Callithrix jacchus: one gene and its partner. Each later gene encodes a partner of the first gene's protein in a complex. Links are inferred from orthologs where the notes say so. Each region holds a gene or a part of one and is shown in the gene's direction. Other genes may lie near its edges. The genes, in order: BAG3 and HSPB8.

The links.
Region 2: BAG3 (region 1) and HSPB8 share a complex: the UniProt entries of both Homo sapiens proteins name them as parts of the chaperone-assisted selective autophagy (CASA) complex. The link is inferred for Callithrix jacchus from reciprocal best matches to the Homo sapiens genes BAG3 and HSPB8.

What each region holds. Positions count from the first base shown.
Region 1 is NC_133513.1:113,172,115-113,176,544, reverse strand, and holds the start of BAG3 (BAG family molecular chaperone regulator 3), read left to right. Parts: upstream 1-1,574; 5' UTR 1,575-1,888; coding exon 1,889-2,068; intron 2,069-2,140; exon of another isoform or gene 2,141-4,430. UniProt on the Homo sapiens protein: Co-chaperone and adapter protein that connects different classes of molecular chaperones including heat shock proteins 70 (HSP70s), e.g. HSPA1A/HSP70 or HSPA8/HSC70, and small heat shock proteins (sHSPs), e.g. HSPB8.
Region 2 is NC_133510.1:122,284,750-122,289,349, forward strand, and holds the start of HSPB8 (heat shock protein beta-8), read left to right. Parts: upstream 1-1,675; 5' UTR 1,676-2,051; coding exon 2,052-2,418; intron 2,419-4,600. UniProt on the Homo sapiens protein: Involved in the chaperone-assisted selective autophagy (CASA), a crucial process for protein quality control, particularly in mechanical strained cells and tissues such as muscle. Displays temperature-dependent chaperone activity.

The sequences.
Region 1 (4,430 bases):
CGCCTGTAATCCCAGCTACTCCGGAGGCTGAGGCAGGAGAATCACTTGAACCCAGGAGGCGGAGGTTGCAGTGAGCCCAGACTGCACTACTGCATTCCAGCCTGGGTGACAAGAGCGAAACTCTGTCTCAAAAAAAAAGAAAATCCATGTACAAGTGGACTTGCTCAGTTCAAACCCATGTTAAGGGTCAATTGTACAGTAATCTGAAGTATGTAACCTGATGTTAACCAATCATTTCTCTCTCTCTCTCTCCCTCTCTCTCTCTCTTTTTAAGAGACAGGGTCCTGCTCTGTCGCTTAGGCTGGCATCAGGAGCACAATCATAGCCCATGGCAGCTTCAAACTCCTGGTCTCAAGTGAGCCTCCCACCTCAGCCTCCTGAGTAGCTGAGACTACAGGCATAAGCCACTGCACCTGCCTTATTTTTTTATTTTGTAGAGGTGTAGGTCTCACTGTGTTGTCCAGGCTGGTCAAACCCCTGGACTCAAGAGGTCCTCCAGTCTTGGCCTTCCAAAGTACTGGGATTACAGGCATGAGCCACAGTGCCAAGCCCTCATCCGTTATTTTTCTGTGATTCTCTCTGTCCCCTCCTTACGAGGAAAGTAATTTTAAAACAACCAATTCAGCCTTGGTTCTTTGTTTCTGTTTTCTTCAGCCCTTCTCTGTCTATAAAACCAACCTCTTCTGCTCGGCTTTTAGGAACACTTATTCTAATTTAATGGAGGTGTTGCCCAATTCTAGAATCACAAAATCAGTTAAGATCTTTAAACTAACAATAAAAGTTAACAAATAAAAACAAACAAAAAGATCTTTAAATTAAAAATGTTGTCATTTTCTCCTTTGGCAGGTTACAAGTGCAACCTCCATTCAATGAACCAAGCGAAAAAATGTCACGGTTAGGTTAGGTCTTTACTTCCCAAATGAGGGTCAAGATGTAGGATAGCAAGAACCAACCTCTACTATAAAAAAGATCCAAACCCAAGAGAATGTGATTTTTCTGTAAAGCTGTTTACTACAACGAAACTTTCTTTTTAGTCTGGGAGACTAAAAACCATCAGCTGACACAATCTTTTTTTCCTTGAAGTTTCCAAAGAAAGGCAAGTGAGTTTGCACTGACTTCCATTTTCTCCCTGCCTTCCTGCTAGTGTCAGATGAGCGTCCCCGCGCTCCTCCCAGGCAGCCCTCAGTGTCCCGGGCTGTCATATATGGGGGAGGGGATGGGGTGGGTGAGATGGCTTTGTTTGTACAGAAAGGAGGGGCGGCAGGCACGGGGAGGACCGGCTCCGGCCCAGGGAAAACTCACTAGGCGCTAAGGAGAGGGAGGGAGGGAGTGTGAAAGCCGAAACCCGCCCAGGGCGCACGGAGGACGACCCCAACTCAGTGCGTCCGGCGTCCCATCCGCAGTCAGGCCCCGAAGGCGCGCCCGCGGCCACTCCGGCCGGGGCACGCGCACTAGGAGGCTCGGGGAGGGGCGGAGGGAGGCGGGGGAGGGCGGGGAGGTCGGGGACGAACGAGAGGGCCGAGGCCCCGCCCCCGCCCGCCGCGATTATAGCCGATGACTCAGGGCGGAGCTCCGCATCCAACCCCGGGCCGCGGCCAACTTCTCTGGACGGGACTAGAAGTTTCTAGCCGGCCAGTTGCTACCTCCCTTTATCTCCTCCTTCTCCTCTAGCAGCGAGGAGGCTATTTCCAGACACTTCCACCCCTCTCAGGCCACGTCACCCCCGCCTTTAATTCATAAAGGTGCCCGGCGCCGGCTTCCCGGACACGTCGGCGGCGGAGAGGGGCCCGCGGCGGCGGCCAGGCCAGAGACTCGGCGCCCGGAGCCCGCGTTCCGCACCCGCGCCCCGGCGGCCCCCGCTCCGGGCCGACCCCAACCCCTACCCAGCATGAGCGCCGCCACCCACTCGCCCATGATGCAGGTGGCGTCCGGCAACGGTGACCGCGACCCCCTGCCCCCCGGCTGGGAGATCAAGATCGACCCGCAGACCGGCTGGCCCTTCTTCGTGGACCACAACAGCCGCACCACGACGTGGAACGACCCGCGCGTGCCCCCCGAGGGCCCCAAGGTGAGCCGGGCCCGCGGCCCGCCCTGGTCGATGGCGCCACCTCGACGGCGGGCGGCGGGAAGGGGGCCGGGCGGGTGGGACGCGAGAAGCGGGGCCCGGGGGTCGGCGAAGGCCCCTCTCAGGCGGACACCGGCTCCGCGCCCAGCCACACATTCCCGCGGCTCCCGGACGAGTCCCTGCTCCCGACCCGCCCTTGACAGGCGTCCGGGCCAAAGGAGGCCCCGGGATCCGGTGGCCCGGGAACCGTCCCCGCAGTGGCCCCTGTGCCGTCCGCGGCTCGACTCCAGGACGGAGGGCCGGGTGTCCGGCGCTGGCCTAGCCCTCCCGAGCTTGGAGGAGGGCAGCCGGCTTGGTCGGCTCCGGAGGCCGCAGTCCCTGCTGCCCGCTTGGCCTCCGGGCCCGGGACCCGCGGCGCACCCCGCTGTCCACGAACGCGAGGGAGACACAAGCTTGGATGGTGGTTTTGGGGGATTTTTACCTCTCAAGTTCCCTAACTTGGTTGAGGGATGTCTTCACTACTGTCCCATCTGAGGCACCCAATGACTCAGGAAGCTGGTGTCAAAACATTTATGCCTGTGTGTGTGTGTGTGTGTCAAATTAAAATTGTATTATTGTTTGAAAGTGCTTTGGATCTGTATGTATCCTATTATCACTTGTAAAATTAAAAACGGGGTGCATTTCTCCCCAGCAGTTTCTAAACTAGACGGGAGACTGTCTTACAGTTGGCCATTGCATTACCACATTGCCTCACCCTGGAGAGAAAGAGAACGATAATGTGTATGTTTATAATGGCATTCGCTTCCTGCCTTGTTATGGTATTAAAATACTTAGGATTTGTTACCAGTACACAAATAACTGAGTAATGATACTCTTGTGAATATAGCAGAAGTATGTCTCATTTACATATATGCAAGGATATATACTTTTTAATCCCCAAGAGCATGAAATTTGAAAACATAAGTTTGGAATGAGTCTGTTAATTTTCAAAAATCATACTTATACTATTCTTTCCATTTTCTGTAAATTTGAGCTTTCAAAATAAAAAGGTTTTAAAAATAATTATGTTATACTTAAAACGTAATTGTGACTGCTGTCTGGGCAAGATAGAAGCAGCAAAAGAGGTGATAAATTATTTTGAAGATTTAAAAACTCAGCAAATTAAAAATGCTTTGTATCTCATGATTTTAGAAGAAAGACCCATATTATTTCCCTTCATTTTTATACACGTTCTGTTTTAACAATATTGACAAAACTCTGGTTCCCAACAGTGAGATGGTGTACAGTCAGCAGTTTACATTTACGAGAGATTAATTGTATATTTATTCTTGAAAATTAATATAAGAGGCTGTAATTAGCTGGGATGGGCACAGTTAAATATACCTTTTTGGGTGTCCAACCCATTTTTGGGTGAAACTGACGCTCATTTCAAACCCCCTTTCTTAGCAGTCTGCGTGGATGTACATGATCTTTAGTGTGGTTTACAACTATTATTTTGAGGGCTTCTTCCTGTAGACATAGGGACAGTAGCATTTGCTGGCAGCCTTTGTTATGAGTGAAGATTAAGTTTGAATGTAAACATTGTCAGTACTTTGTTCTCAGCATGAAACTTACCCAGCAAGTTGAGATCTTCCTGTACCCACCTGGTGCCTGGGTTAGGCTGTGGTTTCCTAAACCTTAAAAGGAAAAAAGCAGGTTTAGTTACCATTATTCTTCTCAACAAATAGAAAGTAAGAACTACTAAATCAGAAGTCTGATGCTGGAAAGGTTTATTTGAAAATTTCACAGTGAAAATGTTAAAGTTGAAAGGTCCTTGAAGATCTTTTAGGTAGGCTTCTTTATTTTCTGAAAAAACCTGGAGAGTTCAGGTGTGATTTTTGAAGGTCACCCAGCTAGTACCGATAGCAGGGAGAGTACTGATGTCAGGAGAGTCCTCATAAGAGGCAGTGTGTCTGTTCAGAAGGTGGAAGTGAATGTTTTGTGAAACCGTGAAGCATGCAGGCTAAAATACTTGATTACCTTTGTGCCCTCCTGGCCACCAAGTTATTGGGTCACTGACCTCTGTGCTGTGATTGCTTGGATTTTGATGATGGGACATGATCAACTCAAGAAGAGAATTCTCGGGCTGGAGGCAGTGGCTCACGCCTATAATCCCAGCACTTTGGGAGGCCGAGGCGGGTGGATCACGAGGTCAAGAGATCAAGACCATCCTGGTCAACATGGTGAAACCCCGTCTCTACTAAAAATACAAAAATTAGCTGGGCATGGTGGCGTGTGCCTGTAGTCCCAGCTACTCGGGAGGCTGAGGCAGGAGAATTGCTTGAGCCCAGAAGGGGGAGGTTGCGGTGAGCCGGGATTGCGCCAT
Region 2 (4,600 bases), on another chromosome or scaffold:
CTCGTGAAGACAGCAAGGCAGAGACCCTGAAGCCCACAGAAGGAAAATGACATGCCCCAAATTGTCTACCTGTTGGGGACAGATCAAAGATTAGAACCCAAGCCCAAGAGGCCTCCGGGCCAACGGTGGACTTGTGAATTCATTTTTCCAGCTGCATGGGAGGAGCAGGAAAGTCTGGATTTGGGGCTTTGAGTTTCAGACCAGACATCCCGCCTGAGTATAACACCTTTTGATAATTATCAGTATCAACAGTCATAATAATAGAAGATACTGTTCATGAACACATCTATGGTAGTTTTTCCATCTGTAAAATGGGATAATACTGGTACTCTTACCTCACAGGATTGCTGGTAAGGATTACATGAGTTCACATTTATAAAGTCCATCAAACAGGGCTCGGCCTATAGCAAACATTATGTAGTTGATAACTCAAAATTGAAAATGCACAGGTGCCCATCAGACTGCTGGGTGCTGGAAGAGAATTAGCTCATGTATTCCTCATGGCAGGTCTGTGAGTTGGCTACTATTATGTCCATTTATAAGGAGGAAAACTGACAACTTGGAGATGCCCGGGAAGAATGTTACTGCCGATAAAGATGCTTTGCTTGACCAAACATGAATCAGATTCCTGAATCTTCTCCTAAGCCCATCTGTGCAGTTCTTTATAAAAATTCCGTATTGGCATGAACTCTGCCAAGTCTGTTTAGCAGCAATCACCCATCTTCGATTTCTGATCACCCTCAATATCTGATTAGTTTCCTCATCCTCCACCATCCCCCAGGTGATGTCTGAGCACCCTGGCCTGTCTTCAGCAAGAATTCTCTTAGGTTAGTTGAGCCAAATCGCCCTGATCCCTGGACCTTCCTCCTAGTAATTTTTCATTCGCGGACCCTCCCACCTGCTTCTTGGATACAAATTCCCACTTACCCATGACCTACTGGGTGTCGAGTCCAATCTTTCTCCCTCACTGCAAAATCCCATTTCTGGGATCCCTGCATTTATGGAGAAGTTCCCCTGCCCAGTAAAGTCTTGTTTATCATACTTAACAAGGTTCATACAAATATATATATACACATATATACATTTTAAAAACATTTTTATCTTTTAAAAACATTCTATTCTTATCATACTTTAACAAGTGTCACATGAATATATATATGTATATATACATATTTAAAAACTTCTTTTTCTTCACCACTCTCCCCAGAGGGCATTGAGGCTCTAGGAGTTTGGCTACCTTGTAAGTGGGGATTCCAACCCAGGGCCATCCTTCAAATCCACTGAGCTCCTGTCTCTCTCTTTCCCTTCTGCAGGTCCCCAGGGGAAAGGCAGGATACAACACGCTCTGGGGAAGGTATTTCCAGAGGGTGACCTGAGCCCTCAGCCAGGCTCGGGGTTATTAATAGCCAAGCCTCTGTGCCTTGCTTGCGGTGGGCGGCTCCAGCTCCCGGAGCGAGCAGAGGGCGGAGCTGAGCAGAGTGGCCAGGGGAGGAGAGAGTGTCTGGAGAGGCTGGCTGAACTTGGACGCAGCCCCTCCCTGCCAGCCCAGCTGTTCCTTCTGTGGATTCTCTGGGGCTGGTTCATCACCTCCGAATACTCCTGTGACAGGAGACGCTTGCAAAACCCGCCTCCAGCCTCCAGCAGCAAATAAATAGAAGGCTTGCAGCCCAGAAGGGGCCAGAAGAAGTTTCTAGGCGCGCGTGCCCTGGGTTTATTAAGTTCCTGGCTCCACTCTAGACCTCAGCGGCTCTGGCTGCCAGCCTGGGCGGTCTGGAAGGACAGTGGCTTGCTGGTCTGTCGTGAGGCAGTGCAGAGAGGGGCCCTCTGGGATTCTGCTGGACCTGCCTGGTGGTCATCTTTGGGGGCCGGGACCCCAGCTGAGGGGGCACAACCGTCCCTGGCAGCGGTTGGCTCTGCTTCTCCCTGCAGAAGAACAGCCTTTTCGGAAGCTGAAGAATAAGCCAGCCCAGCCACAACACCTTGTTGTGTGACCTTGGGCAGGTGGTTCCGTCTCTCTGAGCCTCTGTTTCCCTCTGAGCTCAGCAGCCACCATGGCTGACGGTCAGATGCCCTTCTCCTGCCACTACCCAAGCCGCCTGCGCCGAGACCCCTTCCGGGACTCTCCCCTCTCCTCTCGCCTGCTGGATGATGGCTTTGGTATGGACCCCTTCCCAGATGACTTGACGGCCCCTTGGCCCGACTGGGCTCTGCCTCGTCTCTCCTCAGCCTGGCCAGGCACCCTAAGGTCAGGCATGGTGCCCCGGGGCCCCACTGCCACGGCCAGGTTTGGGGTGCCTGCCGAGGGCAGGACCCCCCCACCCTTCCCTGGGGAGCCCTGGAAAGTGTGTGTGAATGTGCACAGCTTCAAGCCGGAGGAGTTGAAGGTGAAGACCAAAGATGGATACGTGGAGGTGTCTGGTGAGTCGGGGGCAGGATGGAGAGGCGATCGGGGAGGGGGTGTAGGCCTTAGCCCTGGGAATAGCCAGGAGAAAGTTTCCTGAGAGCAGATGCTATGACAGTGTGACCCAGGTGACCTCAGGGCTCAGGAATGCAGCCTGCAAAGTTATCTTTATGAAAAAGAGCTCCTCTCCCAGCTCCCTGGAGAGAACTTAACCTGCTTGACTCAGCTATTAGGGCCTTTGGGTGCTGATCAATCAGGGTACAGGCAGGAACGTGAAACCATGTTGGATATTTTGACAGAGAGCATTTAATAGAAAGAATAGATTAAGCAGATATCAAAGAATTAAAAAACAAAGAAGAAATGGGATTTGGTGCATTCCAGCCTCACAACACAGGGTCTAGAAGTGCACGTTAGGCTGAACAGTGATAGTGTTCAAAACCACAGCTGGCTTCCCGTGAAACACCTCTCCTTGTCCCAGACAAGGAAACTGAGGCTTACCAGTAATTTTAACACTAACTGGTAACTTTGAGTGCTAACTACGTGTTCAGCACCTTGCTAAGTGCCGTTGCCTGTAACATCTCAGCTAATACAACAACCAGAGGAGGTGGGTCCTGTTTATCTTCTTTTTTTGCAGATGAGGAAACCGAGGCACAGAGAGATTGAAGTAACTTGAAACTCCCCCTGAACGCTGGATTCAGACCCAGGCTATCTAAGAATTAGGAGGCCAGAAAGAAGTGATGATTTACTGAGTACCTACGAGATACCAAGGACTGGGCTGAAATTCTCAGACTTCTCCAAAACCATCCTCAGACCAGCCCAGAGTAGCAGGGGTGGCTAGGCCCATCTTGCAGTGATGAGGCTGAGGCCTAGGTGGGACTTACTCACAGTCATGCCATGAGTCAGCAAGAGGACGTGAGTAGGGACTGTACCTGTCCACTGCTTTAGGCCAGGGCTATTATTGCCACATCCCACCCTGGGAGAAAGAAACATACTAGGGGGAAAAAAGAGAGAGAAGACAGGAAGCTCACCCCTGTTAAGCTGGGCAGCAGAAAAAGCTTTCTTTTCCTTCCCTCCCGATTTACAATTAATACTCCATTACAAAGATTGTGTTCCCGGCAGAGGCTTGCCTTCCAGAAAATCAATTAAAGCCACTGCAAACAAAGGCTGGGCAGGAACAAGCCCCAGCAGCGTTCAGGGGGAGTTTCAAGCCAGTCACGGCAGAATTATAAACATCAGAGGCTCTGGCGGGTGTGGTGGGCCGGGAGACACGCTGGGGCCACGTGCTGCCGGACAGGGTCAGCCAGATCTCCGAGTTGGCTGGGAAGCCAGGCACGAGATCCGACAAGTTGGCTCCAACTCTAAACAGCAGGATGTGCAAATTACTTCACTTCTTTGTGCTTCTGTTTTGCTTTCTCTCCTGGAAATTAGGGTTCAAATAGTTACACCATAAGGTTGTTGTATTAAATGAGGTGATGCTGTAAAATGTGTACGTACCCGTGAACGCGGAAAATCTGAGACAGATCTCAATTAATTTAGGAAGTTTATTTTGCCAAGGTCGAGGGCAGGCCTGTGACACAGCCTCAGGAAGTCCCGATGACACATGCCCAAGGTGGTCCGGGCACAGCTTAACTTTATACATTTTAGGGAGACATGAGATATCAGTCGATATACGTAAGAAGTACATTGGTTCTGTCTGGAAAGGCGGGACAACTGGAAGCAAAGACAGGAAGACCTGAAGCAGGGAGAGGGCTTCCAGGTCACAGGTAGGTGAGAGACAAATGACTGCATTCTTTTGAGTTTCTAATCAGCCTTTCCAAGGGAGGCAATCAGACACGCATCTATGTCAGCCAGCAGAGGGGTGACTATGAATAGAAGGCGGGGCAGGTTGGTCCTAAGCAGTTCCCAGCCTGACTTTTCCCTTTAGCTTAGTGATTTGGGAGCCCCAGATTTATTTTCCTTTCACATTTCAGTATTATTATTGTCGTCGTTGTTAGAGTGCCAGGCACCCAGGAAGGCGCCAATAAATAATGAATAATAGATGCTCTTCGAAACCTGGGTTGAGATCCCAGCACTGCTCTTCACTAGCATGGTGGATGTGGACAAGAAATTCTTTTCATCCCGCTGAGCCTCAGTTTTCCCATCTGCAGAATGGGGATTACAATAATACCTGTCCTGCAAGAGTGTAGGAAAGATTAAACA